Oryctolagus cuniculus: one gene and its partners. The protein of the gene in region 2 purifies or fractionates together with the protein of the main gene of each other region. This does not show direct contact. Links are inferred from orthologs where the notes say so. Each region holds a gene or a part of one and is shown on either strand. Other genes may lie near its edges.

Region 1 (7,494 bases), on a different chromosome or scaffold from region 2:
CACAACAGACTTTGGTGAAATAAACTATACTTTATACTGCCTTACCACGTTCATTAAAAATGGGCTAAGTTTGTGATTCCTGTTCTTGAGTTAAGAAGCAAATGAAAAATCTGAAATGTATTTGAACATTTAATGAAAAAATTTGGTATCATTTTGAGCTTTGTCCAGTTGGACTCAAAATGAAGATTATGCTTTTTAAGGTAAAAGGAATACTTTTTCTTAATAAAAAAGAATTTTGCACAAAACCCAGGTGACAAACCAAATACCTGCTCATTAGTATGAAGTCTTGGAGCACTTTTGTAGTGAAGCTTTCCATATCTTTTAAGATAAGCACAACAGGAGGAGAATGCCATTGGCTAGAAGTAGTCCTCTTTTTGCTTGGAATTTTTGGTTCTGTCTTCTTTTTAAGCCATTATGGAAAGAAGGAGTTAAAAAGTAAGCTTTATCACCCAAACAAAGCTACAGTGCCACATTTGACATATTTCCCTTCACACTTCACAGTAACATTGTTTCTTTTATTTCTTCTATATAATAGAAACTCCTTTCAACAGTTACTAGCAGAATCATTCTAACATGGGAATAATAAACAAGAAGAAAAAGGTGCAGTAAAATTTATAGTGTATATAAAATATTTATATTTTTTGCTGGGAAGAATGACAAGAAAAATGGGAAGAAAATTTTCAAAATTGATTTTTCTACCAGTAGAAAGTTATATTTTGTTTTGCTTAAGAAGTCCTAGTATTCTTAATTAGAAAGCATAAAAATAGCACTACTTGCTGCTCTGCTATTATGAAATTTCAGGCTTAAAAAGGACCTTAAGGGGTGGGCATTTGGCCTAGTTAAGACATTGGTTTAGCATACACATTCCACATTGGAGGAATACCTGGGTTCAATATACAGCTCTGGCTCCTGACTCCAGTGTTCTGCCAATACAGACCCTGGGGGCAATGGTGATGGCTCAAGTAATTGGGAGACCTGGACTGAATTCCCCCCGTCTTGGTTTGGCCCCAGCCACTGTGTGCATTTGTGAAGTAAATCAGTGGTTGGAAGCTCTATCTGCTCGTGTCTTTCTCTCTCTGTGTCTCCCACAAAATAAACAACAACAATGAGCCTTAAGTATCACCTGGCCCAAATATAATCTTCTAAAGATTCCTGATATCAACTGTAAGTAGTGTTTGATTCCCAGAAAATTTAAAATTGTAGACTGAATTAATAAGCATTAGTTCCTATATGAAGCAAAATGAAACTTCTCTCATGATGACTGTAGCAAAAACGTTAATTGGAAAAATGTCACCACCTCATTTTTTCCCTAACTTGTCTGGTTACACAGCATCATGAAATAAAGCTGAAGTTTTACATTGCAGTTATCTTGAATCACCTAGGTTATACATTTTCTCCAGAGGCCATAATGTAGAATGGAACTTCTTTTTATTTGTCTGTTTGTTAAATATACTTACAGAGTACCAATTCCCCAAGAACTCTAAACATGGAACAACTCAGATTTTCTTTAAAAAAATACGTGATTATTCTTCATAGGACTAAGTTAACAGTACGTACTAGCAAGATGGTTCCACTACACAAAAGCAAATATTGAAGAACCAAAGAGATTAAAGTTATAGCCATTGTCACAGAGATAGAATGAACCTAAGAGGTAATATATTAAAGTTACAGCCATTGTCCCAGAGGCAGAATTTGTGGTAGACCAATTCCTAATGCTCTGTTATTCTCATGGGATGACATTTTTCCACAAATAAAATGTTCTTGTAAAAACCTAAGCACTGCCAGCGCCGCTGTAGCTCAATAGGCTAATCCTCTGCCTGCGGTGCCGGCACACCGGGTTCTAGTCCCGGTCGGGGCGCCGGATTCTGTCCCGGTTGCTCCTCTTCCAGGCCAGCTCTCTGCTGTGGCCTGGGAGTGCAGTGGAGGATGGCCCAAGTGCTTGGGCCCTTCACCCGCATGGGAGACCAGGAGAAGCACCTGGCTCCTGCCTTCAGATCAGCGCGGTGCGCCGGCCATAGTGTGCCGGCAGCGGCGGCCATTGAGGGGTGAAATAATGGACAAGGAAGACCTTTCTCTCTCTCTCTCTCTCACTGTCCATTCTGCCTGTCCAAAATAAAAATAAAAATATATATATATAAAAAAAAGAACCTAAGCACTTACTGAAAATTAGGCTACACAGTAATAAAAAGAACAATCTGAAATTCTTGTCACTTAAAGAAAACAGCCACTATTAAATTAACACTTAATGCTATGTAAATATATTCTTTAAAAAAATACAGTACTGTATCTAATATAATTCTATAACCCAGTCACATCCAATATCTATCTCGGAGAAAATCATCAGTTTATATTTACCTGTGTGACAGTCTTATACCAGTTTGAAAGCAAATCCATTGAACAATGTGTCTTTTTCTGGGTGACCTGAACACTTTCTTCCTCTTTGGATTTTACATCCACACAGCAATTCATCAGTTGTGAGACCAACTTTTGCAAAAAATGTTTTATATCTGCAGAATATAAAAAGTAAGAAAGCTTATTTCCTCTTAAAATTGAAGCCCATTGGGGCTGGCGTCATGGCACAGGTTAATCCTCCGCCTGCGGTACCAGTATCCTATATGGGCGCCTGTTCTAGTCCCAGCTGCCCCTCTTCCAATCTAGCTCTCTGCTATGGCCTGGGAAAGCAGTAGAGGATGGCCCATGGGAGACACGGAAAGAAGCATGGGAGACCGGGAAGAAGCACCTGGTTCCTGGCACAGCTCGAGCCATTGCGGCCATCTGAGGGGTGAACCAATAGAAGGAAGACCTTTCTCTTTGTCTCTCCCTCTCACTGCCTGTAACTCTACCTCTCAAATAAATAAATAAAAATCTTTGAAACAAAAAAATGGAAGCCCATGAAACTTTGGCAAATGAAACTAATTGAGTAGAATGTGTTTTCCTATATTTACCATCAATGTAACTAATGTAATACTTAATATATTAACTATTAATGCTCATTAGAATCCTAAATTTCATAATTAAGACAAAAACTAAAGTTTTCATGTATATCTATAACAAAAGTGGAGCAAATGTATAAACAGGAAAACTATGAATTATATTAGGACTAGTAAGTATTCAAATTACACTAGACAACAAAGGTTTTCAAGATCCCTAAAAGAACAAAAGTACTATTTACATGAGTTAATTTACTACTTATAAATCATCCTTTATAGTAATTTTTAAAGATGTCTTTAGGACTTTTACTTAATTACAAATAGTATGAATATGAAATATAAGTATATAAAATTCATCTTATCAATGCAAATTCAAATAAATTTTAGTGTATTACATACCCTTTATGAAATGATGGTTTCAGATATCCAAGATTAGTTTGCCACTGGATTATTTTTACCATGGGGGCCTTTCATACTGAGACAATATAATGATTTATGACTATAAATATGAATCTATATAGTCTACTCTCTGTTGGGCTAAAAAAAAAAAAAAAGAGTTCCAATTTCCCCTATTCTCAGCTTTCTGTTCTAAACCTTTCTACTTATTCAGTGGGTTAAGAAAAAATCTTGAAAAATGATTGGACAACTATGGCTATGATATGGCAGGAACAAGGCCACAAAAAGGATGTAAAAGGTGGTAGAGTACAGTTACAGTAGAGATTACTTTGGGAGCCAGTAGAGCTCACCCTGCCAAAAATGTAGGCTGCTCTTCCACCACATAAGGGATGAAAAAAGAAGGGAGAAAGAAATGGAAGTTTGTTAACTCTCTTTGAGGTAACTGTGGCATTCATATTTTACCTGGACAATCTTTAGCTTGCAATGAGACTACATGTGGTGTGACATTATTCTGAAGGGCTTCTGTTAGACTTCTGAATATTAATTCATGATCTGTGACATTCACACCTATGGGACAAAAAATTAATTAGCAACATTTTATTAATCATCATAATTTTAGTAATAATTTAACAACAAAAGATACTTAATAAAAAAAACTACCAAGTAAAAATACTTGAAAATATGATGAGTAACAGAAATCAAGAAAATAACACTGCATAAAGAGATATATATTGGGGGCCGGTGCTGTGCCACAGTGGGTTAAGCCACTGTCTGCAGTGCCAGCATCCCATATGGGCACCGGTTCAAGTAGCGTCTGCTCCATTTCCAATCCAGTTCCTTGCTAACAAGCCTTGGAAAGCAGTGGAGAATGGGCCAAGTATTTTGGCCCCTGCACCAACATGAGACCCAGATGAAGCTCCTGGCTCCTGTCCTTGGCTTGGCCCAACCCTGGACACTAGGCCATTCGGGGAGTGAACCAGAGGATGGAAGACCTTTCTGTCTTTCCCTTTCTCTATCTGTAACTCTACCTCTCGTATAAATAAATAAATCTTAAAAAAAAAAAAAGCATGTTTGGAACTCAAGTAAATTAAACTTTGTTTCTAAAAACTAATGACAAAGGAAACGCTGTGGCATAGTGGGTAAAGCTGCTGCAGGCCTGCAGTGCTGGCATCCCATATGGGTGCTGGTTCAAGTCCCAGCTGCTCCACTTCCAATCCAGCTCTCTGCTATGGCCTGGGAAAGCAGAAGAGGATGGCCTAAGTTCTTGAGCCTCTGGCCCCACATGGAGACCTAGAAGAAGCTCCTGGCTTCAGATGGGCATAGCTCTGGCCATTGCAGCCAATTGGGGAGTGAACCAGAGAATGGAAGGCCTCTCTCTCTTTCTCTGCCTCTCCTTCTCTCTCTGTATAACTCTGACTTTCAAATAAATAAATAAATCATAAGAAAAAAACAATCATGTGTCGCTCCCCCTCTTCGTGGAGGTACGACACTAGACCCTGCACTGTTCTTTTGTCTGCTCGGCCCTTCCCGGGTTTGCTGCTGGTCCTTCCCGGGTTGGCTGCCATCCCTCCACCTCCGTGGAGGGGCGGGCCCCTCTGCCACTTTCCCCACTTCCGCAGGGGGGGAGCGGCACACCGCCGGCCGGCTCTCTCGGGGCTTGCTCAGATGTTATCCGGATGTTCCCCTTAGATGTTCCTGGTGCATGTTGTCTCTCTCCTCCTTTATAGTCCTCTTCCACCAATCCCAACTCTGCTACCCACACGCCGAGTACGCTGCTCTCCTCCAATCAGGAGCAGGATCAGCTCCTGCAGGTTATTGGTCGAACTGGAGGCAGCTGTGTAAAAGTTGTTTACTCCTCTCCCAGCGCCATATTGTGGGAGAGCAGATGCATAGAATAAGTCTTAATTCCAGTAACTTAGTCTAGTCCGAGGTGCTCCCAACAATCATGGAATTTTCCTAGTATTACCAATAATTTTTTACATCATACTAGAATCCAAATGTTTGCTAAAGATAGACCTTTTTTATTTTGACAGGCAGAGTGGACAGTGAGAGAGAGAGACAGAGAGAAAGGTCTTCCTTTGCCATTGGTTCACCCTCCAATGGCCGCCGTGGCTGGCGCGCTGCGGCCGGCGCACCACGCTGGTCCGAAGGTAGGAGCCAGGTATTTATCCTGGTCTCCCATGGGGTGCAGGGCCCAAGCACTTGGGCCAACCTCCACTGCACTCCCGGGCCACAGCAGAGAGCTGGACAGGAAGACAAGCGACCGGGACAGAATCCGGTGCCCCGACTAGGACTAGAACCCGGTGTGCCGGCGCCGCTAGGCAGAGGATTAGCCTAGTGAGCCGCGGCACCGGCCAAGATAGACTATTAATGATGGATATTAGTATCCAAGAAATTCATAACCTGCAATCAAAAAGCAACTTACGTACGATTCATCCAATCCCTCTTATAGGCAATTGGTATTAATGAAATGATCTGTAATTATAAACACAGGAAAATAAAATTCATACTATAGAGTAATTCTATTGGAGATATTATTTTTTTTAAAGATTGATTTATTTAATTGAAAGGCAGAGAGTTGCTGGCGCCACGGCTCAACAGGCTAATCCTCCACCTGCGGCGCCAGCACACCGGGTTCTAGTCCTAGTCGGGGCACCGGATTCTGTCCCGGTCGCTTGTCTTCCTGTCCAGCTCTCTGCTGTGGCCCGGGATTGCAGTGGAGGATGGCCCAAGTGCTTGGGCCCTGCACCCGCATGGGAGACCTGGAGGAAGCACCTGGCTCCTGCCTTTGGATCAGCGCGGTGCGCCGGCCGCAGAGGCCATTGGAGGGTGAACCAACGGCAAAAGGAAGACTTTTTTCTCTGTCTCTCTCTCTCTCACTGTCTACTCTGCCTGTCAAAAAATTAAAATTAAAAAAAAAAAAAAAAAAGGATTTAAAAAAATAAAAAGAAAGGCAGAGAGTTACAGAGAGGCAGAGGCAGAGAGAGAGAGAGAGAGAGAGGTCCTGCATCCACTGGATCACTTCCCAAATGGCTGCAATGGTGATAGCTGTGCCGATCAGAAGACAGGAGCTTCTGTGGGTCTCCCATACAGGTACAGGGACCCAAGGACTTGGGCCATCTTCTGCTTTCCAGGCCACAACAGAGAGATGGATTGGAAGCAGAGCAGCCTGGACTTGAACCGATGCCCCATAGGATTCTGGCACTGCATGCAGTGGCTTTACCCACTATGCCACAGAGCTGGACCCACGAGATATTATTTTTATTTATTTATTTATTTTTTTATTTGACAGGCAGAGTTAGATAGTGAGAGAGAGACAGAGAAAGGTCTTCCTTCCATTGGTTCACTCCCCAAATGGCTGCTGCGGCCGGCGCGCTATGCCAATCCAAAGCCAGGAGCCAGGTGCTTCTCCTGGTCTCCCATGCAGGTGCAGGGCCCAAGCACTTGGGCCATCCTCCACTGCACTCCCGGGCCACAGCAGAGAGCTGGACTGGAAGAGGAGCAACCGGGACTAGAACCTGGAGCTCTGGCGCCGCAGGCAAAGGATTAGCCTAGTGAGCTGTGGCCCCGGCAGGAGATATTATTTTTAAGAAGTATAAAAATCAGGGGATGGTGTTGTAGCTTATCAGGTTAAGACACTGCCTCCAATGCCAGCATCCCATATGGGTGCCAGTTCAAGTCCCAGCTGCTCCACTTCTAATCCTGCTAAGGTGCCTGGGAAAGTAGCAGAGGATGGTTCAAAGTCCTTGGGACCTACACCCATGTGGGAGACCTGGATAAAGCTCCTGGATGGCCACTGTAGCCATGTGGGGAGTGAACCACTGGATCCAAGATCTTTCTCTATTTCTCCCTCTCTCTCTAATTCTGCCTTTTTTAAAGATTTATTTATTTGAAAGTCAGTTACACACAGAGAAAAGGAGAGGCAGAGAAAGAGAGAGAGAGTTCCTCCATTTGCTGGTTTACTCCCCAGTTGGCCGCAATGGCCGGAGCTGTGCCCATCTGAAGCCAGGAGCCAGGAGCTTCCTCCAGGTCTCCCACATGGGGTCAGGGGCCCAAGGAATTGAGCTATCTTCCACTGCTTTCCCAGGCCATAGCAGAGAGCTGGTTCAGAAGTGGAGCAGCCAGGTCTTGAACCAGCACCCATATGGGATGCCAGCACTGCAGGCCT
Region 2 (8,064 bases):
CACGGGGACGCGGTGCAGAGCGCCTGGCCCCGGGAATGGGGCGTTCCCAGCGGGGGGAGGAGGCAGGCACAGGGCGAGCAGCCTGCGACCCCGGGCCATGGCGGAGCCCGGTGACCTCTGTGGGGCATAGCCCAGGGTGCTGGGGGCGGGCAGGACCCTGTGTTGCAGTGGGAGGGCCCTACCTCTGCCTCTAACTCTGCCTTTAAAATAAATGAATACATCTTTAAAAAAAAAAAAAAAAAAAAAAGATGACCAGAGCTGCCCGTGGCCCATTCCCAGCCACGGCACGGCCCGGTTCCCGAGGGCTGTGGCTTAGACAGCAGAGTGTGCGGGAGGGGTGACTGTCAGTACTGGCCCTGGAGGGCAGCCGAGGCAGGGTGGGGAGAAGGCGGGTAGGCGGGGCCTGAGCAGGGATGCTGTGGTCCCCGGCCAGGGAGTCACAGGAGAACAGGCAGGCACGTGTGCCGGGACGTGGGACGTGATGGGGGGAGGGGGCAGGCAGCCCACGGCAGCCACAGAAGTCTGAATGCCCGTCAGGAACCTGCCTCTCAGGAGTAGACCCAGCCCCCACCCAGCGACCCTGGCCGCCCACTCCCACAGCCCAGGGCTCGTGGTGCGAGACCTCCCCCGAGCAGCCCGGCGCACCTGCTTCCGGCGTCCGGACTGCGAGAGCTTCCAGGGGTCGCGGTCCATCAGCCGCACCATCTCGGCCTCTTCGTCCCGGGTCACGAAGTCCTCGATGAGCATCACCCCCGGGAAGGGGAAGGCCCAGCCCTCAAAGTCGGAGTCGGCGGCACCCACGGCCCAGCCCGTGTCCGAGCAGTAAAGGAACTCGTGTGTTCTCTGCAGGAGAGGGGGTGGGCGTCACAGGACCGCCACACGCTGAGGGAGTCCCCCTCCCCGGGGCGAGGTGCCCTGGGGTGGCTCCTTGCTCTTCCCCTGTCCGGAGCGGCCCTCCTTTTGACATCCATCTCCCAGAGGGGGCGCAGCAAGGTCAAGGAGCCAGCTCAGGGCCGCACACCCGGGAGCAGTCTGCAAACGCGCCGTTGCCTCGGGTGCGTGGACGGAAAAGGCCTGGGTGGGAGCCCCCGGCCCAGCCAGGTGACCCTGGGAGAGCAGCACAGGGCCGGAGGCCGGAGGGGAGGTGTCCCCCTCTGTGGTGGCCCAAGAGGCACCCAGCTGAGCTGTCACCGTCATCAGCCATCCGCGAGGGCCGTGACTGGCTGACCCCTCGTGCTGCGGTGCCCAGCCTCTCTGCCCATTGCGGTTGGGGGCTTGTCTCTGCCATCCTAATTGGGTCACCACCCCCTTCAGGTGTCCCGGATCTCGTGCACTGACGGCCCGCCCTCCCCGGCCCTGCATCTCATACTGCAGGCTCTCGGGGTCCTTGCTGACCCTGCCGCGGTCCCCCAGGGAGGGCTGGGCGACAGCAGTGCAGCGTTCCTGGGACACCCCCCCGCACCGGGGGTGCAGGGATCAGGATCCTGCCCCACCCCTTCATCTCCCCCCATCAGCTGGGCGTTCACTTGAGCCCAGCCTCTCCTCCCACACACCTCTCACCCCTGAGCTGTCGCTGGCTCCTCCTCTCCCACGATGCCCCCGCTCTGCCACCATCCCGGGGCCGCACCTGGCCCTGTCCCCTTCCAGGCCTCAGCGCCGCACCTCCCTTCCTGTCCTTGCCCTCTAGTCACTCTCCCAGGGCCCCCAGCCCCTCGCCACTGCCTCTTTTCTACCCTCGGCTTCACCCCGGCACAGCCGTCCTGCAGGTGAGAGCAGGGACACGGACCTGCGGGGGTCCCGGCCAGAGCCACCACCCAGGCTAGGACCCCATGGGCACCAGAAAGCGGGCTGGCCTCTGCGGCCCCTCCTCCTGCACTCCCGTCCCTGGGCTCCCACTAGAGTCCCTCGGACAGAACGCGCTACACCCGGGGTGGGGGTGGGTGCCCCGGACATCTCGCTCTCCTTGTCCCACAGCCCGAGTTGTAGCGGTGCCGCCTGCGTGGCCCCTAGCCCGGTACCGCAAACGCTCGCACCGTGGTGAGAGGCGTGGAACACGACGTGCGCCCTTGCAACACCTGTAACGCGGCTCCGTGGCCGCCTCTATCATCCTCCCAGACCCACTGCCTCCCCGCCTCCCCTCCCCTCCCCAGCCCCTGGAGACGCGTTTCTCCTCCGTCCCTGCGCAAGTGACTCCTCCCGAGTCGTCCCAAGGGACCGGCTCACTCCGCTCGGGGCGGGCGCTCAAGGCTCCCCACCCTGCAGCGCGGGTCAGCGGGTCTCCTCCGCGCAGGGCTCACGGACAACGCCGCGCCACTCACGTCTCTGCCGATGGATACCTAGGTCGCGTCTGCCCAGGTGTCCCCTCCACACCCTCCTTTCCCTTCTCCTGGGCGCGCGGAGCCAGAGCGGGGCAGCGGGCTCCGGCGATGGCCGTGGTCACTGCGCCGGCCTCGCAGCCTCCGCACCTCCTTCCCTGCCTGCCCGGGTGCGAGCTCACGTGACCCCTTCTCCCCTCCAAACCCCCGCAGTCCCTCTCCTGGGGCATCACCCCGCCGCCGCGCGCGCGCCCACCGCGGCCTCGCCCCCTGACGGACTGTCACCCCGGCCGCGGCGGGCCTCCCTTTCCCCTACGCAGAGCGGGTTTTGTGGGCGCGGTCCCTCGCTCAGCCCCTACCTGCGGGGAGAGCTGCCAGGGCGGGAACCCACCGCGCTGCCGCTCGCAGATCAGGCAGGTCCGGATGCCCTTGCAGCCACATTCCTTGAGCACCTCCGGGGCCTCGGCCGCCGCCGCCGCCATCGCGCCGTCCGGGCGGCCAGTGCGCAGGCGCCGGGCCGCGGGGGCCGCCGGGAGTCGTAGTCCGCGCGCGGGGCACGTGGTCCTGGCTTCCTTCCGTTCGCGGCCGCCTGCACCCGCGGGGCTCATTCGGCACCGCCTCCTGGGCTGCGCTGACCTCAGGCGTGGGCTTCGGACTGGGGAGCGCGGGTTCCGCGGGCTGCCGGGGCGGCGCGTCGGCGCCATGGGCCCCCTCACTGCGCGGCTGCTGCTGCAGCGCGGGCGACCCAAGAGTGACCGGCTGGGACGGATCCGGAGCCTGGAGTAAGAAGGGGGCCGGGGGCGAGGTCCCACGGGGTCGGTGGGCCGTTGGGAAGAGAGGCCGGCGGCCGTTAAGTCGCTCGCGCTCGGGAGGGGGCTCCGCGGCCGTTCCCGCCAAACGTCTCCTGCGGAGGAGATGCGCGCTGTCGCAGCCCCGAAGAGGGCGGGTTGCGGGTTGAGCCACCTGTTGAGCTCAAAGGGGCGCGGGGAAAGGCGTCCTGGGGGCGCCATGCAGGCCCGGGGGGCAGCTTCGCAGGCGGAAGGGCTCTCCCGGCACCCTGGCCCTGAGCCTCCCCGCCCTGCCCCCGCCGCAGCCTGTCCGGGCTGAAGCTGCACTCGGAGCACCTGGACCCCAAGCTGCTGGGCCGCCTGAAGCAGCTGCAGGAGCTGGACCTGTCCAACAACCAGCTGGACACGCTGCCGGCCAACCTGGGGCTGGCGCACCTGCGCGTCCTGCGCTGCGCCAACAACCAGCTGGCCGACGTCTCGGCCCTGTGCCAGTTCCCGCAGCTGGAGGAGCTCAGCCTGGAGGGCAACCCTTTCCTGACGGTCGGTGGACAGCCCCGCGGGGGAGGGCTCCGGGCCACGGGCCCCGGGCTTGGGCCGGCCGCCGCCTGAGCTGCGCTCGCCCTGCACCCCGCAGGTCAGCGACAACCTGAAAGTCTCCTTTCTCCTGCCCAACCTCCGGAAGGTGAACGGCAAGGATGCCTCCGCCAACTGCACGCAGGTGGAGAGCCTGAACCGCGAGCTGACCAGCAGGGTACGGGCCGGCAGCCACTGAGCAGCACCTGGGCGCGGCGGGAGGGGCCGGTGGCGGGCTCCGCCCTGAGCGCTCCTGCCCGCTGTGCCTGAGCCCCGCTGTGGTGGGGCCCCCTTTGTCCATGGAGGGGGGCCGTTCCTGGGGTCTGTGTTGACCAGGTTCCTGCACTCTGTAGATAAGAGGGGGCGGGGCAGGGGGTGGGGCTAGCCACCGGTGGTGCAGGGTTGACACCTGCGGGGTGTGAGGTCAGATAGGGGCTGGCCAGGGCTGGATCCCGTCCCTCCTCCCCCAGGTCACAGCTCACTGGGAGAAGTTCATGGAGGCGCTGGGCCCAGAAAAGGAGACCCAGAAGGCGCAGGCCGACTTTGTGAAGTCCGCGGTCAGAGACGTCCGCTACGGGCCCGAGTCCCTCAGCGAGTTCACCCAGTGGCGTGTAGGTGCTCACCCTGCCGCGCCGGGGCGCTGGCCTGCCCCGAGGGGCTGTGGGGGGGGGGGCGGCTGGACAGAGGAGCCGGCCCTATTGGCTGAATCCCTTTCCAAGTAGGAAGCATACGCCCCCTTGGAGCACGAGTCTGGGGGATGCTGGGGGACCCAGGACTGTGCCCAGCTTCCTGATGCCCCCCCCCAGGTGCGGATGATCTCCGAGGAGTTGGTGGCCTCTGGTGGGACACAGGTCCATGTGGCCAGTGTCCCCGATAAGCCCCCAGAAGCTGCAGCTGCCCACAAGCCCAAGGTGAGCGTGGCTGCGTGTGGCCCCCGGGGCTCCCAGGGCCTGCCGTGCCCCTTCTGCCTGAGTTGGCTCCCCCCGGGACCCTGGGCCATCCGCGGCTCCCACCCCATGGCGGGGCCGTGGTTCGGGCAGGAAGTCCCGGGGACTTCGGGCCCGTGGTCACCCAGGTCCTCTCCGCAGGCCAGGCTGGTGAAGCGGCCCGATGACACCCCACTCGGCCTCTCTGCCCCCAAGCGGGTGCGCGCCTCCCCGGCCGCCCGGAGGGAGGGCAGCCCTGGGGGCTCGGACAGCAGCCAGGTGAGCTGGGCGGTGGGCAGGGGTGGGGAGGTCAAGGGCTCGCACAGCCCCTGACGCGCTCTGCCCCCCAGGCTGCCCTGAAGCTGGAGCCGCTGCACTTCCTGCAGTGCCACAGCAAGAACAACAGCCCCAAGGACCTGGAGACCCAGCTGTGGGCCTGCGCCTTCGAGCCGGCCCCGGAGGAGGGTACGGCCGCCCGCGGGGGCGTGGCGGGGGCGGGGCCAAGACCTGGAGACCCAGCTGTGGGCCTGCGCCTTCGAGCCGGCCTCGGAGGAGGGTATGGCTGCCCGTGGGGGCGTGGCGGGGCCGGGGCCGGGGCCAGGGCCTGGAGACCCAGCTGTGGGCCTGCGCCTTCGAGCCGGCCCCGGAGGAGGGTACAGCTGCCCGCGGGGGCGGGGCCGGGGCCAGGGCCTGGAGACCTAGCGGTGGGCCTGCGCCTTCGAGCCGGCCCCGGAGGAGGGTACAGCCACAGGGCCCACGACATGAAGCTGCGGGTCCCACGGGAGCTGTTTTTATAAAAAGTCTTCATTATTTGAGGAAGGGGCCCCATCCACTGGTCCACTCCCTGCATGCCTACAACAGCCCCCGGCTGAGGCCAGAACCGGAGTGGGAGAAAGAGTGGCCCGGATACAGCCTGGCGCCCACATGGGAGGCCGGCGCCGCGGGTGGGGGCTCAGCCCTCTGCAGCACAGCACCTGCCCCAGGGGCCAGGGTGTACCACCAAGGGGGCCGCCTTGGATGGGAGGGGACAGTTTAGAAGGTGTCCTCCAGCCAGGCGGGAGCTCTCCAGTCCAGGTTTCCGCTCAGCTGAGCCCCTCAAAACAGGGGGCTCGGGGGCCACGTCGCAGACCGTGGCCACCTGCGGCGGGGAGGCTGTGTGCGTGATCGACTGCCAGACGGGCATCGTGCTCCACAAGTACAAGGCGCCTGGCGAGGTGGGTGCGGGCCCCTGCCTCCCTGCTCCCACACCGGGGAAGCAGACGCCGGTGTGCGGGGCGGTGCCCACAGCTGCTTCCTCCCCCCCGCCAGGAGTTCTTCTCGGTGGCCTGGACGACCCTGACGGTGGTCACACAAGCCGGCCACAAGAAGCGCTGGAACGTGCTGGCGGCTGCGGGCCTGCGGGGCCTGGTCCGGCTGCTGCACGTGCGCGCCGGCTTCTGCTGCGGAGCCATCCGGGCCCACAAGAAGGCCATCGCCACCCTCTGCTTCAGCCCGACTCGGGAGACCCACCTCTTCAGTAAGACCCGCCCTCTGCCGGGGCCCCCGCACCCCTCTCCTGCTGCCCTGGCGGGAAGACAGAACCTCAGGCCCCCCTCTGGGCTTCACGCCCACCTTTGCTGCTGCTCTGTGGCCTTGGATTTCCCAGCACCCGGGCCGCCCTGCTCCCCCGTCAGGGACCTGGGTGGTGACCCCCCAATGGGCGGGGCCCGAGCTGCCCTGGCGGCTGCGGTGTGGGCCCTGGGCTAGAGCAAGGAGGGACAGGGCTGGCCTCGGGCGCCCGGCCTCAGCCTGGGACGTGGCCAGCCAACGGGAGCAGGGCCACCTGTCCCTTTGCCCACCCCTCCTCAGCGGCCTCCTATGACAAGCGGATCATCCTCTGGGACATCGGGGTGCCCAACCACGACTACGAATTCCAGGCGAGGTGACGGCAGGGCAGGGCTGGGGCGGGGCAAGCTGGGCAGCAGGGCGGGGGCTAGCTGGGGCCAGCAGCTCCCATCTCCCCCCCCCCACAGCCAGCTGCTCACACTGGACGCCGCCTCCATCCCCCTGCGCCTCTGCCCCGTCCCCTCCTGCCCGGATGCCTATCTGCTGGCCGGCTGTGAGGGCGGCTGCTGCTGCTGGGACGTGCGGCTGGACCAGCCCCAGAAGAGGAGGTGAGGTGGGGCGGGCTCCCCGCGCCCCTGCCGCCTTCCCCTCGCCTGTGGCTGAGTGATGGAGCCCAGCCCGCTGCGCACCAGCTTGAGGCCCCTGGTGGTGGTGAGCAGGAGAGGCCCTGGGGCACATCTGCCCCTGCCGGGCACAGGCACTCGGGACAGGTGTGCCCCCCCCCATCAGCTACAGGGGACCCGCCCCAGGCCCCTTCAGAAGGGTGCTGGGTGGCATGTGGGGCAGGGAGGGGGAACAGCCTGTGGTGGGGACAGCTGGCAGCAGTGAGGCGGCATGGTGGCCTGGGCCACTGGGAGGACAGGGCAGGTGAGGGCTGGGGCGTGCAGCCCTGGGCCCAGGTCTGGGGGCGTCCGGCCCCTGGCTCTGGTGCACAGCCCTGCCTCCCCACCCCCAACACACACAGGGCGTGTGAGGTGGAGTTCGTGTTCTCTGAGGCGCCCGGGCGCAGAGTGGACGGGCTGGCCTTTGTGAACGAGGACGTCGTGGGTGAGTGCGGCCAGCCTGGGCCGATGGCTTCCCTCGGGGGCTAGGGTCTCGGGCTCAGCCTGGCACCCCCTGTTCTCCCGCAGCCTCCAAGGGGAACAGCCCAGGCACCATCTGCTTGTGGAGCTGGAGCCAGACGTGGGGCGGCAGGGGCAGCCGGTCCTCGGTGGCCGTGGTCGTCCTGGCCTGGCTGCAGTGGTCGTCCACCAACCTGGCCTACTTCTCCCTCAGCACCTGCCCAGGTGAGCACTTGCCCCCGGGAGCACCCCCCACCCCCGCTGCCCCACCTGAGCCTGCCTGTGCCTGCAGACGAGGCGACGGTGCTGTGTGGGGACGAGGAGGGCAACGTGTGGCTATACGACGTGAGGCAGCTCCTGCGCCAGCCGCCTGCGCAGCCGGCACCCACGCAGGCCCCCACGCAGGTGCGCGGGCTCCCCTGCCGGGCGGGGTGGGCTCCACGCGGGCGCCCTGCTCAGCCGGGTCTCCCCCACCAGGTCCTCAGATGGCCGCAGCCCTGGGCCTTGGGCCAGGCCGTGAGCAAGACCATGGTGAACACGGTGGTGGCCGACCCCACCTTCAGCTACCTCACGGCGCTGACGGACTCCAACATCGTGGCCATCTGGAGGAGCCGGCCGCACCCCGGCACCACGGACACCGCCTAAGTCACTGCGCCTGGGGGCTTTTTACGAGTATTTTTATTATTAAATTCCTCCATTGTAGACAGCTCGGTAGCCATGCGGGCCCCACCCTGCTCCTGGGATGCGACCCCAAGCCTCTAGAAGAGTGACAGGCCGTCCCCACAGTCCACGCGGT
Region 3 (7,494 bases), on a different chromosome or scaffold from region 2:
TCAAAATTATTAGACACAGAGGAAAGCACAATGGATATCCAAAAAAGTAGATAATGAGATTAGCAGACAGAGCATTAACACAACTATTATAATTATATTCACTCAAATATATAAAGGAAGAGCATAAGATGTGCAATGAAAAATTCCACAGGAAGAGATTAACTGCTGATTAGACAACCGTGGCAACAAAAGTCCCTGATTTTTAAAGATATAAAAATAAAAACTATCCAAAAAAAAAAAACACAGAAAGATTTAAAATTTAAATGAAGACTTCCAATAGAACAGTAGCAAGAAGTCTAATATACTAATGATGCTGTCCCAGAAAAAAAGGAAGACAAAATATTTGGATAAATAATAGTTGAAATTTTTCCAATGTTGATGAAACTAAACACTCACAGCTCTAAGAAGCTCAAAAATCCGAAGCAGATAAACAACAAAAGATATTTTCTTTTTTGCCTCCTTATTTCTTTAAGGACAACACAACATTATGGGGTTTTTAAGAAATAGTACGATAAGGTATTATAATAAATATGTAAATAAAATATAGTACAATAGCAATAAAGGCAAAGTACAAAATTCTAAGATACTGAAAATTTCAGATTGCCATCAGAGAATCACTTAACTTTTTCTGATACAATACTTGAGCCAAAAACCTGATCAAGTATATTATAATCTATCTGAAGAAAAAATGACCAGAAGATGAGTAGTATGCATGGGAGACTTCCAAGTTGGCCTCCAAGCTGTAAGTAGTGAGAGAAGAGGTGTCCTTATTGGACACCATGTTCCTAAAGATGATTTATGAAGGACTTCAAAAAGTTCATGGAAAATGGGCGTTATCTTTTAATTCCATTTTTCATTTTTTAAAGTTTTTATTTGATGAATGTCCATTTTTCCATGAACTTTTTGAAGTCCTTTTTACATACTAAGTTATCATGACTGATGACACTGACCACTAAATCCATCCCTTTGCTCTGGTTCCATGCTTGCTTCCTCTAACCATAATTTGACTTATTAGTGTTTTCTTTTGCCTTTTTTCTGATGATAATGATTTTTCTTCAAAAGGACTTGATATGTAAAAGGTCACAAAATTTAGTAGTCAGATTTGACTTGGCTGCATTACTATATACTCTTTTTTTTTTTTTAAGATTTATTTATTCATCTGAAAGGCAGACATACATAGAAAAAGACCTTCCATCTGCTAATTCACTCCCCAAAAGGCCAAAATGGTCGGGGCTACACCAGGCTGAAGCCAGGAGCCAGGAGCTTCTTCCAGGTCTCCCACGTGAGTGCAGGGGCCCACGGACCTGGGCCATCTTCCTCTGCTTTCCCCAGGAGCGCTAGCAGGCAGTGAATCGGAAGTAGAATGGCCAGGACTCGAATCGGCAACTATATGAGATGCCTGCACTGTAGGCAGAGGCTTAACCTTCTACCTCACAGTGCCATCCCCTACTAAACACTTTTCAAAAATCTATTATCCTATGCTCAGAAACTAGCAAGATCACTGTTATTTAAATTTTTTTCATCCATGCTGCTTTGTGTCTTTACTTTTAGAAGCTGCAACAGAATTTTATATCATTCTTTAGTTCATATTTACTAAGATGCAGAAAACCAGCATTTTGAAATTTTCTTAAATTCTAGTAATTTTTTAATACTTAAATCTAAAATGGGTCATGAAAAGTTTAACCATAAGTAGGGATGAGAGCTTCAAAGCGATTTTCAAAATTATATCCTGGGGCCAGCATTGTGACGCAGTAATGTTAATCTTCCACCTGTGGCGCTGGCATCCCATATGGGTGCTGGTTCTAGTTGCTCTTCCTCTGGTCCAGGTCTCTGCTATGGCCTGGGAAAGCAGTGGAAGATGGCTCAGGCACTTGGGCCCCCGCACCTGCATGGGAGACCTGGAAGAAGCTCCTGACTCCTGATCTGCACAACTCTGGCTGCTGCGGCCATTGGGGGAGTGAACTAGCGGATGGAAGACCTTTCTCTTTGTTTCTCCCTCTCACTGTCTGTAACTCTACCTCTCAAATAAATAAATAAAATTAAATTAAAAAATTAAATCCTTTGATTCTGTGATTTTTCCCCCCATGGATGAGACGTTATTGAAAATAAGGATTCCCCTTTTCTATTTTGGGTAACTTAAAAAAAATCAATTAATTAGCTAGGACAGGAGGTGATACTTGCCTGTTGTTCTTGTGAAAATAGGCAAAAATGTGTTGATCTTAACAATGAATATTTACAAAAGATAAATCCAGAGGGGTAGTGGTAGTGAGGCCAGCGTCATGGGATGCTATTTTTTTCTTTTTTCTTTTTGACAGGCAGAGTGGACAGTGAGAGTGAGAGAGACAGAGAAAAAGGTCTTCCTTTTGCCATTGGTTCACCCCCCAATGGCCGCTGCGGCCAGCATGCTGCAGCCGGCACACCGCAATGATCCGAAGGCAGGAGCCAGGTGCTTCTCCTGGTCTCCCATGGGGTGCAGGGCCCAAGCACTTGGGCCATCCTCCACTGCACTCCCTGGCCACAGCAAAGAGCTGGACTGGAAGAGGAACAACCGGGACAGAGTCTGGCGCCCCGACCAGGACTGGAACCTGGGGTGCCAGTGCCGCAGGTGGAGGATTAGCCTATTGAGTTGCGGTGCCGGCTGATGCTATTTTTTTCTTTAATTTTGTTTAAGGAATACAACTTCATGCATTTAATATAAACAAATTTGGGAACATGGTGATTCTCCCCCCCCCCCACTTCCCTCCCACCTATTCTCCCACCTTTCTTCCTCCTCCCTCTCCCTTTACCATTCTTATTTTTTACTGAGATCAATTTTCAATTAATTTTATACTAAAAAGGTTAACCCCCTAAGTAGAGAGTTCACCGAATAGTATGAAGAAAAAAAAAAGCACAAAAACAAACAAGAATAATACTGTTCATCAACAAGGCAAGGGATGTTATTTTTTCATACACACTTCACAGTTATAATCTTTGAATCAGAAGTTTTACACTTGTATACTGACAACAGAGTAGTAATCTACAAAGCTATTTAGCAACACAAAGAGCTAATGTGTTCTTACAAAGACAGAATTAATCAAGATCTATGAAATCTAAGTTTAAATTCAACCCCCTAAAAAAGACATTTAAGAGTTAGTGGCTGGTACTACAAAAGTTACAAGAATGAAAAACAAGATTCACAAAATCAAAAGATATATTACACATGGTATTTTAACCCAATTTTATTATAAATAAATGTTTCAATATAATTTTAGTATGCTTCGTCATTATAGTCTACTTTAATCGTATGGATATCATAATTGCTGCATATTTTAATGTACCAACTAAAAAATGATAAAAATATGCTGTTAGCACAAAGATATAAAAGTTGCTCATTCAAAAAATTTCAGGACTTATACAAGAATAATTCCTCAAAGTTTCAAATTATAACTTCAAAAATATAGTACAGAAATATAAAGGACACTGTATTTGAAATTGGCAGTGTACCTTATCAGTTCAGAACACATCCCACTTTAAACACGCTAGCTTAATCTTTCAAACAACATTAAATCTACTGAATATCATTTGCCAAAACAATCTTTAAAAATTTACCTATGCTATAATCAGGGAAATACAAGACAAATGGTTCAAAGCATCCAGTATTTGGACGAAACTTTTCCCAAACAATTTCACTGAGAAATATAACAGTCACATTTCGGTCAGTCTGTAAAAGAAAAAAAAAAAAAAAGCTTTGCATTTAAAAGTATTAATCAAAGCAATAATTCCATTTACATTTTTCCTTTAAAAATTCCAGGAAGGGTGGTACTAATGGCATCTTACATGTTAAAGTGATCATTTTAAGTGTGTAACTGATCATACAGATAGGAATAAGTGTCAAAGGGATCATATAAATAAGATCAGTTATCTGCTAATAACAATATAATTAAAAAGGAGAGAACGATTCTACATGGAAAGCAGGCCACACAGCAGACTTAGAATGACAAATGCCCTAAACAGCACTCTGACCTCAGAATCAGCCCTTAAGATATTCTGATCTGGCTGAAAAGCCCATGAGAGCATTTCAGGAATGGAAAGCCAAGACACTGTGGCAAAAAAAATGACCTAAATCAAAGATCTCTGTGAGTGAGAGCCTTGGCAGCTCATGACAAGAGTCTCGGGTGATTGCTGACATCATAAATAAGAGTGTCAATTGTTAAATCAACAACAGGAGTCACTGTGCACTTATTCCCTATGTAGGACCTCTGTTCTCAATGAATTCTACTATCAGAATAACAGTAAAACTTGTCATCAAACAGTACTTTATACATTCTGTGTCTGTGTGGGTGCAAACTGTTGAAATCTTTACTTAGTATAGAGCTGGTCATCTGTATATAAAGATAATTAAAAATGAATCTTAATGAAGAATGGGATGGGAGAGGGAGTAGGAAATGGGATGGGAAGAGGGGTGGGAAGGAGAGTATGGGAGAAGAACCACTACTTTCTTAAAGCTGTACCTATGAAATTTGTATGTATTAAATACAAGCTTTCTAAAAAAATTTTTAAATTCCAGTGCAATTTTAACATAAAACACATCATTTGTATGTTATTTTAGAAAACCTAATCATCTACTTGCAAATATTCAATATATCTGTTCTCAAGGATGTTAAGATAGTCACATGAGATTTACTTTAGAAATTAAGAAAAACACTTACTTGAATAATTAAGACAAAACTTTTATGTAAATTCTCAAAAAAATCATAAGCTTTCATCAGTAAATTTAAAAAGGCAAAGCTTATCATTTCTCATCATTAAAAAAGCTTCAGCAACCCACAGAAAAGTTAATATGCAGTTAAAGGAAAATAGATATGCCATATCTATCCCCCATAACAGCGCATACTAGGAACATTAAAGGTTTTCCTTAAGGTTATGTTTACATCAATCGCTAAGTAAAACTGATGTTCAATAAACAATAAAAGCTCAAACTACGAGTATTATCATCTAGAACATCAACATTAAGCAAAACACTTATCTTTTGAAATATTCATATATGTAGAAATTACTATATCAACAAAAAATACTAAGAGAGCCTGTTATCATACTATAGCATGGCCATAATTGTCCTAAACAAGCTAGCTGACATTTTGTGTATTCATCTCTGCATTCTCTACACAAACTTTAATTTTCTCCATATTATTTTGGCATTCCTAGGCTAACAAAGCAGAAAGAAAGCTGTTTTGGTCAGCAGTGGATGACCCTAGAACCAGTCTTCCACATAAACTGTACTGTATATTTTTTAAAGATTTTTTTTTATGTATTTGACAGGTAGAGTTATAGACAGTGAGAGAGAGAGACAGAGAGAAAAGTCTTCCTTCCGTTGGTTCACCCCCCCAAATGGCCGCAACGGCCGGAGCTGTGCCGATCTGAAGCCAGGAGCCAGGTGGCCCAAGCACTTGGGCCATCCTCCATTGCCCTCCCGGGCCACAGCAGAGAGCTGGACTGGAAGAGGAGCAACTGAGACTAGAACCCGGCACCCATATGGGATGCCGGCACCACAGGCGGAGGAGGATTAACTTAATGCATCATGGTGCTGGCCCCTATACTGTATTTTGACACTGAGTGATTTACTGATTCCTTACCTGTATGATTTTCATTGCTTATTTAGTTAACAAAAAGATCTGAATACATAATTCCACAGAAAATTTAACATCTCTATGAGAGGAAAGGATTTTTATTTCCAAATGCTTTGTCTTACAAATTCACTTTTTTTTAGATTTATGTTATTTATTTGAAAGACAGAACCACAGAGTGAAGGAGAGACAGAAGGAAAGATCTTCCATTCACTGGTTCACTCTCCAAACAACCGCAAAGACCAGAGCAGAGCTGATCTGAAGCCAGGAGACAGGAGCTTTCTCCAGGTCTCCCACGAGGGTACAGGGGCCCAAGAACTGCTCTCCCAGGCCATAGCAGTCAGCTGGATTAGAAGTGGAGCAGCCTGGACTCCAACCGGCGCCCACATGGGATGCCAACACTGAAGGCCAGGGCCCTAACCCGCTGCACCACAGTGCTAGCCCCAAATTCACTAACTTTTAAAAAAGATTTAAATAATTTATTTATTTGAAAGACAAAGCAACAGAGAAAGGGAGACAGAGAAAGACATCTTCTATCCCAATTAACTCTCCAGATGGCCTCAACAGCCAGGACTGGGTCAGGTCAAAGCCAGAAACCTGATCCTGTCTCCTATGTGGATACAAGGGCCCAAACACTTGGGCCATCATTCACTGTTTATCCAGGCACAGTAGCAGGATGCTGGATTGGAAGCAAAACAGCAGGTACTTGAACTGACACTCTGATATGCTCTGCTGGCATTCTTAAGGGATGGCTTAAAACTGGCTATGCCACAACACTGGCTAGAAATTCACTGATTTTTACAGAATCTATGAATATACTTGTATGGTATAAAAAAAAAAGTATGCTCTAAACACCATCCTGATTACAAAAGCACTGCATTATTTTTACTTCACTATAATTAGCTAAAAACATTTTATACAGTTAAAAATATAGAGAGCTTAAAAAAAGATACTTATCAGTCTGAAAGGATTTTAGATTGGTAACATTCTTATCTATTCATGAGAAAGTATTTTCAGTATACAACAGTTGTTACCAAACAAAATTTTTTTTACTCAGATACTAAATATATAAAAATGAGAAATGTTTTTGCTAAATTTCTCTTGAATAAAACACATAAATCAAGTATGTTTCAGAAATTTCTAAACAATTTTCTTTTCTGACAGATTTCAGACTGCTGTGAACTCATTAATTTTCTTTAAATAGCTTGCATAATTAAAACTAAAAAATGGTGAAAGTCCTAACTATGGGTACATGATCATCATTCCTGGGCACAAGGAGGAAAACACAGGGTAATTTACCCTGGAAGGGCAAGAACACACTCTGGATTCCAGATGGGGAGTCCCAAAGCAAAGCACTGAAAAACAGTGGGTAAAAATATGCAAAGAAGGTGCAGGAGCTGTGGTGTAGTGGATAAAGCGGCCGCCTGCAGTGCCAGCATCCCACATGGGCGCTGGTTTGAGTCCTGGCTGTTCAACTTCTGATCCAGCTCTCTGCTATGGCCTGGGAAAGCAGTGGAAGCACCCACGTGGGAGACCCAGAAGAAGCTCCAGGCTCCTGGCTTTGGATGGGCACAGCTCCGGCCACTGGGGCCATTTGAAGTGAAGCAGCAAATGGAAGACCTGTTCCTTTCTGTCTGTCTGTCTCTCTCTCTCTCTTCCTAAGGGACAGGTCCCTGGTCCCCTTCAGAAAATGCTAAGTCAATGAAACCAGGAAAGACTAGACTGTGAGGTTAACTCCCAGCACAGACCACCAGTAGCCACACTCACCCCCCCCCCACCACTCCCCGTGTGCTCTCCACCCTCCTGTCCTAGGACTACTGCTGACAGTGAGCCTTAGGAATTGGCCTTAGGAGCTGCAGTGATTTCCATAGCATTTAGAAGGCCTCCCTAA
Region 4 (7,494 bases), on a different chromosome or scaffold from region 2:
TCAATATATAAATTACTTTCTCATTTATTTTATGGATTCTTTTTTTTTTTTCCAGAAAGATTATTTATTTGAAAGGCAGAGTTACAGAGAGGCAGAGACAAAGAGAGAGATCATCTATCCACTGGTTTACTCCCTATGTGACCGCAACAGCCAGAGCTGTGCTGATCTGGAGTCAGGAGCCAGAGGCTTCTTCCGGGTCTCCCACATGGGTGCAGAGCCCAAGGACGTGGGCCTTCTTCCACTGCTTTCCCGGGCCATAGCAGAGAGCTGGATTGGAAGTAGACAGCCGGGATTTGAACCGGCACTCATATGGGATGCTGGCACAGCAGACGGCAGCTTTACTAACCGCTACACCACAGCGTCGGTCCCTATTTTAAGGATTCTATAGAGCAAGTATTTCCAATGAATATTTAGAGGCTTGAAATGTGCTATAAACATAAACATACACAAAATTTCAAAAATTTACTGTAAAAGGAAATAAAGCTACATTCATTAATAACTTCTTATACTGACTGTGGTGTTTAAATATTTTTTATATACTGAGTTCGAGCTAATCCCCCCCTTTTTTAAGTCTTATGGGTAGAATGGAATCTAAAACTGTATCATATATTCACATTATCTTTATTGTGAAAAACAGTACCCTAAATAATACCTTAAGAGGGTGGGCATTGTGGTGCAGTGGGTAAAGTAGCCATTGGGGATGCCTGCATCCCATATCCGAGTGCTGAAATTCCAGTTTCATCTCCACTTCAGACGCACCTTCCTGTTAATATGTACCCTCAGAAGCAGCTAGTGATGACCCAAGTGCCTGGGCCCCTGTCACCCATATGGGGAACCTGGATGGAGATTCCAACTCCTGGCTTCACCTGGCACTGGCCTGGCTATTATGAGCATTTGTGCAGTGGGTAGAGGTTTCTTTTTCAAATAAATTAAATGTGAAATAATTTTAAAGTTTTAAATGACTCTTGTCTGCATTTTTATCTCCTTTTACTGGTGTGATGACAAGCAGTTCTTGGACTAGAATGAGACGATTACAGCAATGTTTTTTTTTAACTGTAATGAGTAGCTCCTTTTCAGGATGCAAGTGCTATGAATTGACAGCAGAGGGCAGTGCAACACCACAAACTAAAACAGAACTAGTTGCCTTCAAAATACTGAAACATTTTAAAATTTTTGTCTGTTTAAAAAAAATCCCTAATACTTAATGTCTGAAAGTGCAACTTTGATATATATATATTTATAATCAAACTGGATGTAAAAGCTACTTGTCTAAAAAACAGCAAACCAATCTTACCTTCATGACAACAGGTTTCTCAAAATTATAAACAGAATGGGCCTTTCTTTGAACAAACTTTTGAAACTCTGGATAGGAAGAAATGAAAATATCAGAACCTTCACACAAGCAATAGAAGAGAGAAACAATCAAAGTCTTAGCTCACCATTATAGACCATTTGAAAATTAAAGGGCTCCTCTTCATAGATGTCATTTAAATGTTTCATTGCTATAATAAGACAGATTTCCAAAACTGACAGACCTACAGTAAAATAAAAACTATGAGTTGTAGTTAAAGAGACATAAGATTATACTGTCTTCTGAAGGGCATAATACAGTCAAAGATCATAGCTTCGTGGGCTGGAGGCCAAGCCTCTCCTAGACCCAAATGGTTTCCATCACTATTATCTTTACAAACTTAAGTTACTTAACCATGTGAGGTTTAATTTTTCATAATCTGAAAAATAAGGTACTTTCTACACTTAGAAAAATTACAAGGATTAGAGACACGATAACCAAACATTCATGATATAGCCCACAGTAAACAATATATAGGAACTGCAATTACTGTTTTTAAATCACAAAGGTCCTTGGGTGGGATTTATTGAGAGAATCCCTAAACTTCTTCAAATCATATCCAAAACTGTACTGTTTCCCGGGAAAGAAAATGTTCATCAGAGACTCAAAAGGGATAATGAATCCCAAGTGACAAAAAAATTAGTGAATGCTCTTCAGTGGCACTGGTTTAATGAGAATGTCAGCAACATAGTCTTGCCTGGGTTTCCAAAGTGGCATGAGAAGTGTCAAGTTTCCATCACTTTAAATAGTAGTAGTAATGCCTTTTTAAGAACTGAGTTAGGGGCAAGCGCTGTGGCATAGTGGGTAAAACTGCCACCTGCAGTGCCAGCATGCCATATGGGTGTCGGTTCAAGTACCAAATGCTCCACTTCTGATCCAGCTCTCTGCTATGGCATAGGAAAGCAGTGAAAGATGGCTTGGGCCCCTGCACCCACGTGGGAGACCCGGAAGAAGCTCCAGGCTTTGGATCAGCGCAGCTCAACTCAGGCCATTGTGGCCAATTGGGGAGTGAACCAGCGGATGGGAAGACCTCTCTCTCTCTCTCTCTCTCTGCCTCTCCTTCTCTCTTTGTGTAACTCTTTCAAATAAATAAAATTTTTTTTTTAAAAAGAACTGAGCTAATGGTTCTCCATGAATATAAAAGTATTCTTAACATAAAATGATGCCAATGTTAATTTCGAAAAAAAAAATATATTATCTAAATTCAAACTTTTTATAACTAAAAAAATTATTATTAGGCTTCTCACCATGTACAATATTGGCTTTAGAATCCATGCTACACAGCTGGTTAGCCTCCATAAGATCTGCTGGAGTCACAAATGGATGAGATGCTGTTACTCGATTTAAAGCAAGCATCTAGGCAAATGTAGAATAGAGAAAGGATTACGTATTTACTGTGTGATTTTGGAGATATAAGAGGGCAAAACTTCTGAATTTGCATAATTTATGCCTAAGAGAAAGTAAATATTAATGCTTGGCAAAGGTATTCTCCAGTTTAGGTCTAATAAACACAGTATTTCAACTCATTTCATATTACTCTACAAATGTACAATATGAACAAATTCTTGCCACTCTTCCTACCCCTTTCCTCATGTGTAATTTACCCCTCAAAAGAACATTTCAAAGCGTAAGGTGATGAGAAGAAACAAAGTAAAAATGCTAATCAACCAGCCAAAGTTAGTGTAAGATAGAAAGAAGTCAGCTATTTTCTGTTTGATTGTACAAAGAATATCTATACCATGAAATAATTCTCCTTGAAAGCAGAGCCTGCTTCTTATTTAACTAACATTGTCACACAAATACCTTGAGATTTCTTTTTGCTTTCTTTATATACATAAAATTTTTCATAAAAGTTAAATTTTTTCATTTAAGGTTAGCAGATAAAAACTGGTATCATCGGGGCCGGGGTTGTGGTGTAGCAGGTGAAGCTACTGCCTGCAATGCCGGCATCCCATATAGGCACCTGTTCTTGTCCTAGCTGTTCCATTTCTGATTCAGCTCCCTGCTAATGCACCTGGGAAAGCAGCAGAGGATGGCTCAAGCCCTTGGGGGCCCTGCACCAATGTGGGAGACCCGGAGGAAGCGCCTGATCCTTGGCTTTGGCCTCACCCAGCCCTGGCTGTTATGGCCATTTGGGGAGTGAACCAGCGGATGGAAGATTTCTTTAGCTCCCCTCTGTTTCTTTGTAACTCTGCCTTTCAAATAAATAAATCAAAAATCTTCAAAAAGAACAAAAAAAATCCCTGATATCATCAGGTTAGAATTGAATTTTGGATAAACAATGAGAAACTGCTTAGTAAAAGTATATACCATGCAATATTTGGGATATACTTATCTTCCATCAAAACCCAGGCACAGGTGCCTTACTTGAGCAGAGGAGTTTGGCAATCCTTGTCTTTCATCCTCTGCCTGGCTGGAAACCAGGTCACCAGTAGCTGTTTCCCTTCCTCTGATGTTTCTTTTTTTCCTTTCACTTTTTTATTTTATTTTGAAAGGTAGAGTGACAGGGACACATACATACCTATCTACTATCCACTGGTTCACCTCCTCAAATGCCTGAATCAGTCAGGACCCAGAACTCTATCAAGGTCTCCTTTGGGTGTGCTCTGGTACTTAAGCCCTCATTTGCTCCCTCCCAGGATGCACATTATCAGGAAGCTGGATCAAAATTGAAGCAGGACTCAATCCCAGGTACCAGCTTAAGCTGCAGTGCCACACATGCCCTTCATTTTTCATTCTGAAATACTTTTTAACACGCAAAAAGACAACAGAGTAATACAATGCATTATCTATGGCCCCTTTCCCAGTTTAATGTAATTTTACAGAGATGAAGCCCCTCTCCTCCTAGACTCTCTAGACTTCTCCACACAAAATAAATCAGTATGTATTCCTAGAAAACAGAGTAATTTTCAAATATCATATAAATACTATTGTAGTTTCACAACTATCTTTTGACTTACCATCTATTAACAGAATTATCCATGTTGAGGTATCAATTCTACTTTATTAATTTTTGGCTGCTATACTGTATTCCTTTGGATATATCCATTATTATTCATTTTCTATTGATGCACATGTCATTTCAATTTTTTTCCTGATTATAAACATGATTCTAATCAGCAATCCTATATCAGACTTCTTGTGCTTTTGAGTTTCTCTAGTTACCTACTTAGCTAAATGGATCTCCAAAGCGACTATACACATTTACATTAAAAGTAGTAACTTTTGGGGCCCTAGCAGGTAAGGCTGCCACCTATGGTGACAGTATCACATATGGATCCTGGCTTGAGTCTTAGATGTTCTACTATGATCTAGCTTCCTGTTAGTATGCCTGGGAAAGCAGCAGAAGGTGGCTCAAGTACTTGGGCTCCTGCACCCACATGGGAGACCTGGAAGAAGCTCCTGGCTTCTGACCAGCCCAGCTCTGGCGGTTGTGGCCATCTGGAGAATGAACAAGTGGGTGGAAGATCTCACTCTGTCTCTAACTCTGCCTTTCAAATAAATGGATAATTAAAAAAAAAAAAAAACCTTTTTATATTCATACTATAACATAACATGTAAACGCTAATACACATCAGACTAGTAGAAAAGTCTAATTGCAGCATTTGTCTGTAATCTTCTCAAATGTAAAGATCTTCCACAGCAAAGAAAAAGATAATCAATAAAGGAATGAGATAAGAATATGAGCAAGCAACCCATCAAAGTAGAAGTCTACATTACTAAGCAAGCTATTATTTAATTCATTATGATGCATTAAAAATTTAAGAGGAAACTGGCAAAATAATAGTTGTTCCTGTTGACAATACTGAGGCAGAGATACTTTCCCAGAATAATGGGAGATATATATATATGTATATGTGTATGTATGTATTTTTTTTACTCTAAAAATTCTTATTAACCAAATTCCTTCATGATAAAAACAGCTGGTGCTAGTGCTGAGGAGCTAGTGTTGTGGCATGACAGGCAAAGCTGCTGTTGCCTGCAACAATGGTACCTCATACAGGTGCTAGTTTGGGTCCAGGCTGCTCTTCTCTGATCCAGCTCCCCGCTAATGGCCTGGGGAAAGCAATGGAACATGGCTCAAGTGTATGGCCCCCTGCCAGCCATGTGAGAGACCTGAAAGCAGCTCTTGGCTCCTGGTTTCAGCCTAGATGAGCCCTGGCTGTTGCAGCCATTTGGGGAGTGAACCACAGCAGGTGGAAGATCTCTCTCTGTCTCTCTCTCTCTGAAATTCTAATAAATAAATCAATCTTTGTTTAAAAACATAGCTGGTGCTGAAAATATCAGTGTACTTTTGATTGATGGACAGGAGATAAACTAATAAGTAGGAAGCCATATAAAAAGAAAAAGACTTAAATTTCCTTAGCAAAACAAGAAAAGGGAAGGCAATCTGTAACGAACATGGCAGAACCACAGAATAAAGTAGAAAAGAAACTTGAAGTCAGCCAGCCTTGGATGCAAGTATTGCTGACTAATATCTCTCAGATCTTTATCAAGTTATTTAGTGTCAAGGTGCCTCAGTATCTACAAGGGTAAGGATAAAAGTACCTAAGGAAAAAAAATAAGATTGTAGAGGTTAGTAATGTAGGTAAATTAACAATAATAGTAACATTTCTTGTCAAGAAATATTAGCAATTATCACTATTGTCCTATTACTATTAATGAATATTGACCAAGAGACTCCTAAAACCAAAGCTATTTTCTTTGAAAGGTATTTGCCCAAGACAATTTTCTAGAAATACTACACTAATTTCAAACTGTTAGGAAGAAGTTCTTTAATTTTCAGAATAAAGTAATTTTAATTGATATTGTTTAAAGTTAGATGCAATTACTTGGTGAAAGACTATGATTAACTAGAATGTATTCCAGGTATAAGATACTGGTTGATTTTTCAAAAATCTATCACTGTTACCCAAGCAAATCAACAGGTTAGAGAGAAATTATATAATCATATTATACTGATTAAGAGTAAGCATCTGACAAAATCCAACATCTACTCATAAACTCTCAGCAAGTTAGAAATGAGGAGGAATTACCTCAAATGTTTAAAGAGCGTGTATAAAAAATGCATAACTAACATCATTATATTTCATAGTAAAAGACTGAATGCTTTCCTTATAGGATTGAGAATGAAGAAGGATATTTACTTTAATTGTAGAGTTATTTCTAGGCACTGCAATAAAACATAAGAAAATCAGGATACACATTTGGTACTGTTATTAAAATGCCTCTTGGGAATGCACATTACGTATCAGAGTGCCTGCTTCAAATGCAAGTTCCTTCGCTTCCAACCTAGCTTTCTGCTATTGCATGCTCTGTGAGGCAGCAGATTTTAGATAGCGTAAGTACTTGCATCCTTGTCACCCACAGGGGAGAGCTGGTATGAGTTCTGGGCTTGCCCTTAGCTGCTGAGGATATTTGGTGTTTGGGGAGTAAACCAGCAGATGGAAGATCTTGCTCCAATCTCCTGCTCTGGCTCCAAATAAAATTTTGTTAAAAAGAAAAAAATAAAATGCATACAGTCTAAAAAAGCAAGTAACACCATCTCTATTCATTGTGATTGTTAACATGGAAAATCCCAAAGAATCTTAAAACAAATTCATAGAATTACTAAATTTAGCGAAATCATAGCAGATCAAAACAATCACATTCCTGTATAGTAACAATGAGAATACTAAAACCAAAATTTAAAAATGCTGTCTACAGGAGCCAGCACTGTGGTGCAGTAGTTTAAGCCAAGCATCCTATACTGACGTGCTGGCTAGAGACCTGGGTGCTCTGCTTCCGATCTAATTCCTTGCTAATGCTCCTGGGGAAGCAGCAGATTTGCCTGAGTGCTTGAACACCTACAATCCATGTGGGAAACCAGGATGGAGCTCTGGGCTCCTGGCTTTAGAAAAGACCAGTCCAGGCCGGCGCCGCGGCTCACTAGGCTAATCCTCCGCCTAGCGGCGCCGGCACACCGGGTTCTAGTCCCGGTCGGGGCACCGGATTCTGTCCCGGTTGCCCCTCTTCCAGGCCAGCCCTCTGCTGTGGCCAGGGAGTGCAGTGGAGGATGGCCCAGGTGCTTGGGCCCTGCACCCCATGGGAGACCAGGAAAAGCACCTGGCTCCTGGCTCCTGCCATCGGATCAGCGCGGTGCG

Evidence for each region.
Region 1: the proteins of LRWD1 (region 2) and ORC3 purify together in Homo sapiens (affinity purification with mass spectrometry; 4 studies listed by BioGRID and IntAct, with this or other methods). This does not show direct contact. The link is inferred for Oryctolagus cuniculus from reciprocal best matches to the Homo sapiens genes LRWD1 and ORC3.
Region 3: the proteins of LRWD1 (region 2) and ORC5 purify together in Homo sapiens (affinity purification with mass spectrometry; 4 studies listed by BioGRID and IntAct, with this or other methods). This does not show direct contact. The link is inferred for Oryctolagus cuniculus from reciprocal best matches to the Homo sapiens genes LRWD1 and ORC5.
Region 4: the proteins of LRWD1 (region 2) and ORC4 purify together in Homo sapiens (affinity purification with mass spectrometry; 3 studies listed by BioGRID and IntAct, with this or other methods). This does not show direct contact. The link is inferred for Oryctolagus cuniculus from reciprocal best matches to the Homo sapiens genes LRWD1 and ORC4.

What each region holds. Positions count from the first base shown.
Region 1 is NC_091436.1:84,933,418-84,940,911, forward strand, and holds part of ORC3 (origin recognition complex subunit 3), read right to left. Parts: intron 3,894-7,494; coding exon 3,789-3,893; intron 2,508-3,788; coding exon 2,356-2,507; intron 401-2,355; coding exon 267-400; intron 1-266. UniProt on the Homo sapiens protein: Component of the origin recognition complex (ORC) that binds origins of replication. DNA-binding is ATP-dependent. The specific DNA sequences that define origins of replication have not been identified yet.
Region 2 is NC_091450.1:44,074,067-44,082,130, forward strand, and holds LRWD1 (leucine-rich repeat and WD repeat-containing protein 1), read left to right. Parts: upstream 1-2,881; 5' UTR 2,882-3,017; coding exon 3,018-3,097; intron 3,098-3,408; coding exon 3,409-3,643; intron 3,644-3,737; coding exon 3,738-3,854; intron 3,855-4,146; coding exon 4,147-4,287; intron 4,288-4,482; coding exon 4,483-4,587; intron 4,588-4,764; coding exon 4,765-4,881; intron 4,882-4,952; coding exon 4,953-5,067; intron 5,068-5,706; coding exon 5,707-5,816; intron 5,817-5,910; coding exon 5,911-6,118; intron 6,119-6,450; coding exon 6,451-6,523; intron 6,524-6,614; coding exon 6,615-6,755; intron 6,756-7,171; coding exon 7,172-7,254; intron 7,255-7,337; coding exon 7,338-7,493; intron 7,494-7,560; coding exon 7,561-7,673; intron 7,674-7,745; coding exon 7,746-7,913; 3' UTR 7,914-7,970; downstream 7,971-8,064. Other genes in the region: ALKBH4 (alpha-ketoglutarate-dependent dioxygenase alkB homolog 4), read right to left, coding at 646-843, 2,675-2,797. UniProt on the Homo sapiens protein: Required for G1/S transition. Recruits and stabilizes the origin recognition complex (ORC) onto chromatin during G1 to establish pre-replication complex (preRC) and to heterochromatic sites in post-replicated cells.
Region 3 is NC_091434.1:140,253,089-140,260,582, reverse strand, and holds part of ORC5 (origin recognition complex subunit 5), read right to left. Parts: intron 3,701-7,494; coding exon 3,589-3,700; intron 1-3,588. UniProt on the Homo sapiens protein: Component of the origin recognition complex (ORC) that binds origins of replication. DNA-binding is ATP-dependent. The specific DNA sequences that define origins of replication have not been identified yet.
Region 4 is NC_091434.1:94,275,782-94,283,275, reverse strand, and holds part of ORC4 (origin recognition complex subunit 4), read right to left. Parts: intron 2,708-7,494; coding exon 2,599-2,707; intron 1,536-2,598; coding exon 1,440-1,535; intron 1,363-1,439; coding exon 1,295-1,362; intron 1-1,294. UniProt on the Homo sapiens protein: Component of the origin recognition complex (ORC) that binds origins of replication. DNA-binding is ATP-dependent. The specific DNA sequences that define origins of replication have not been identified yet.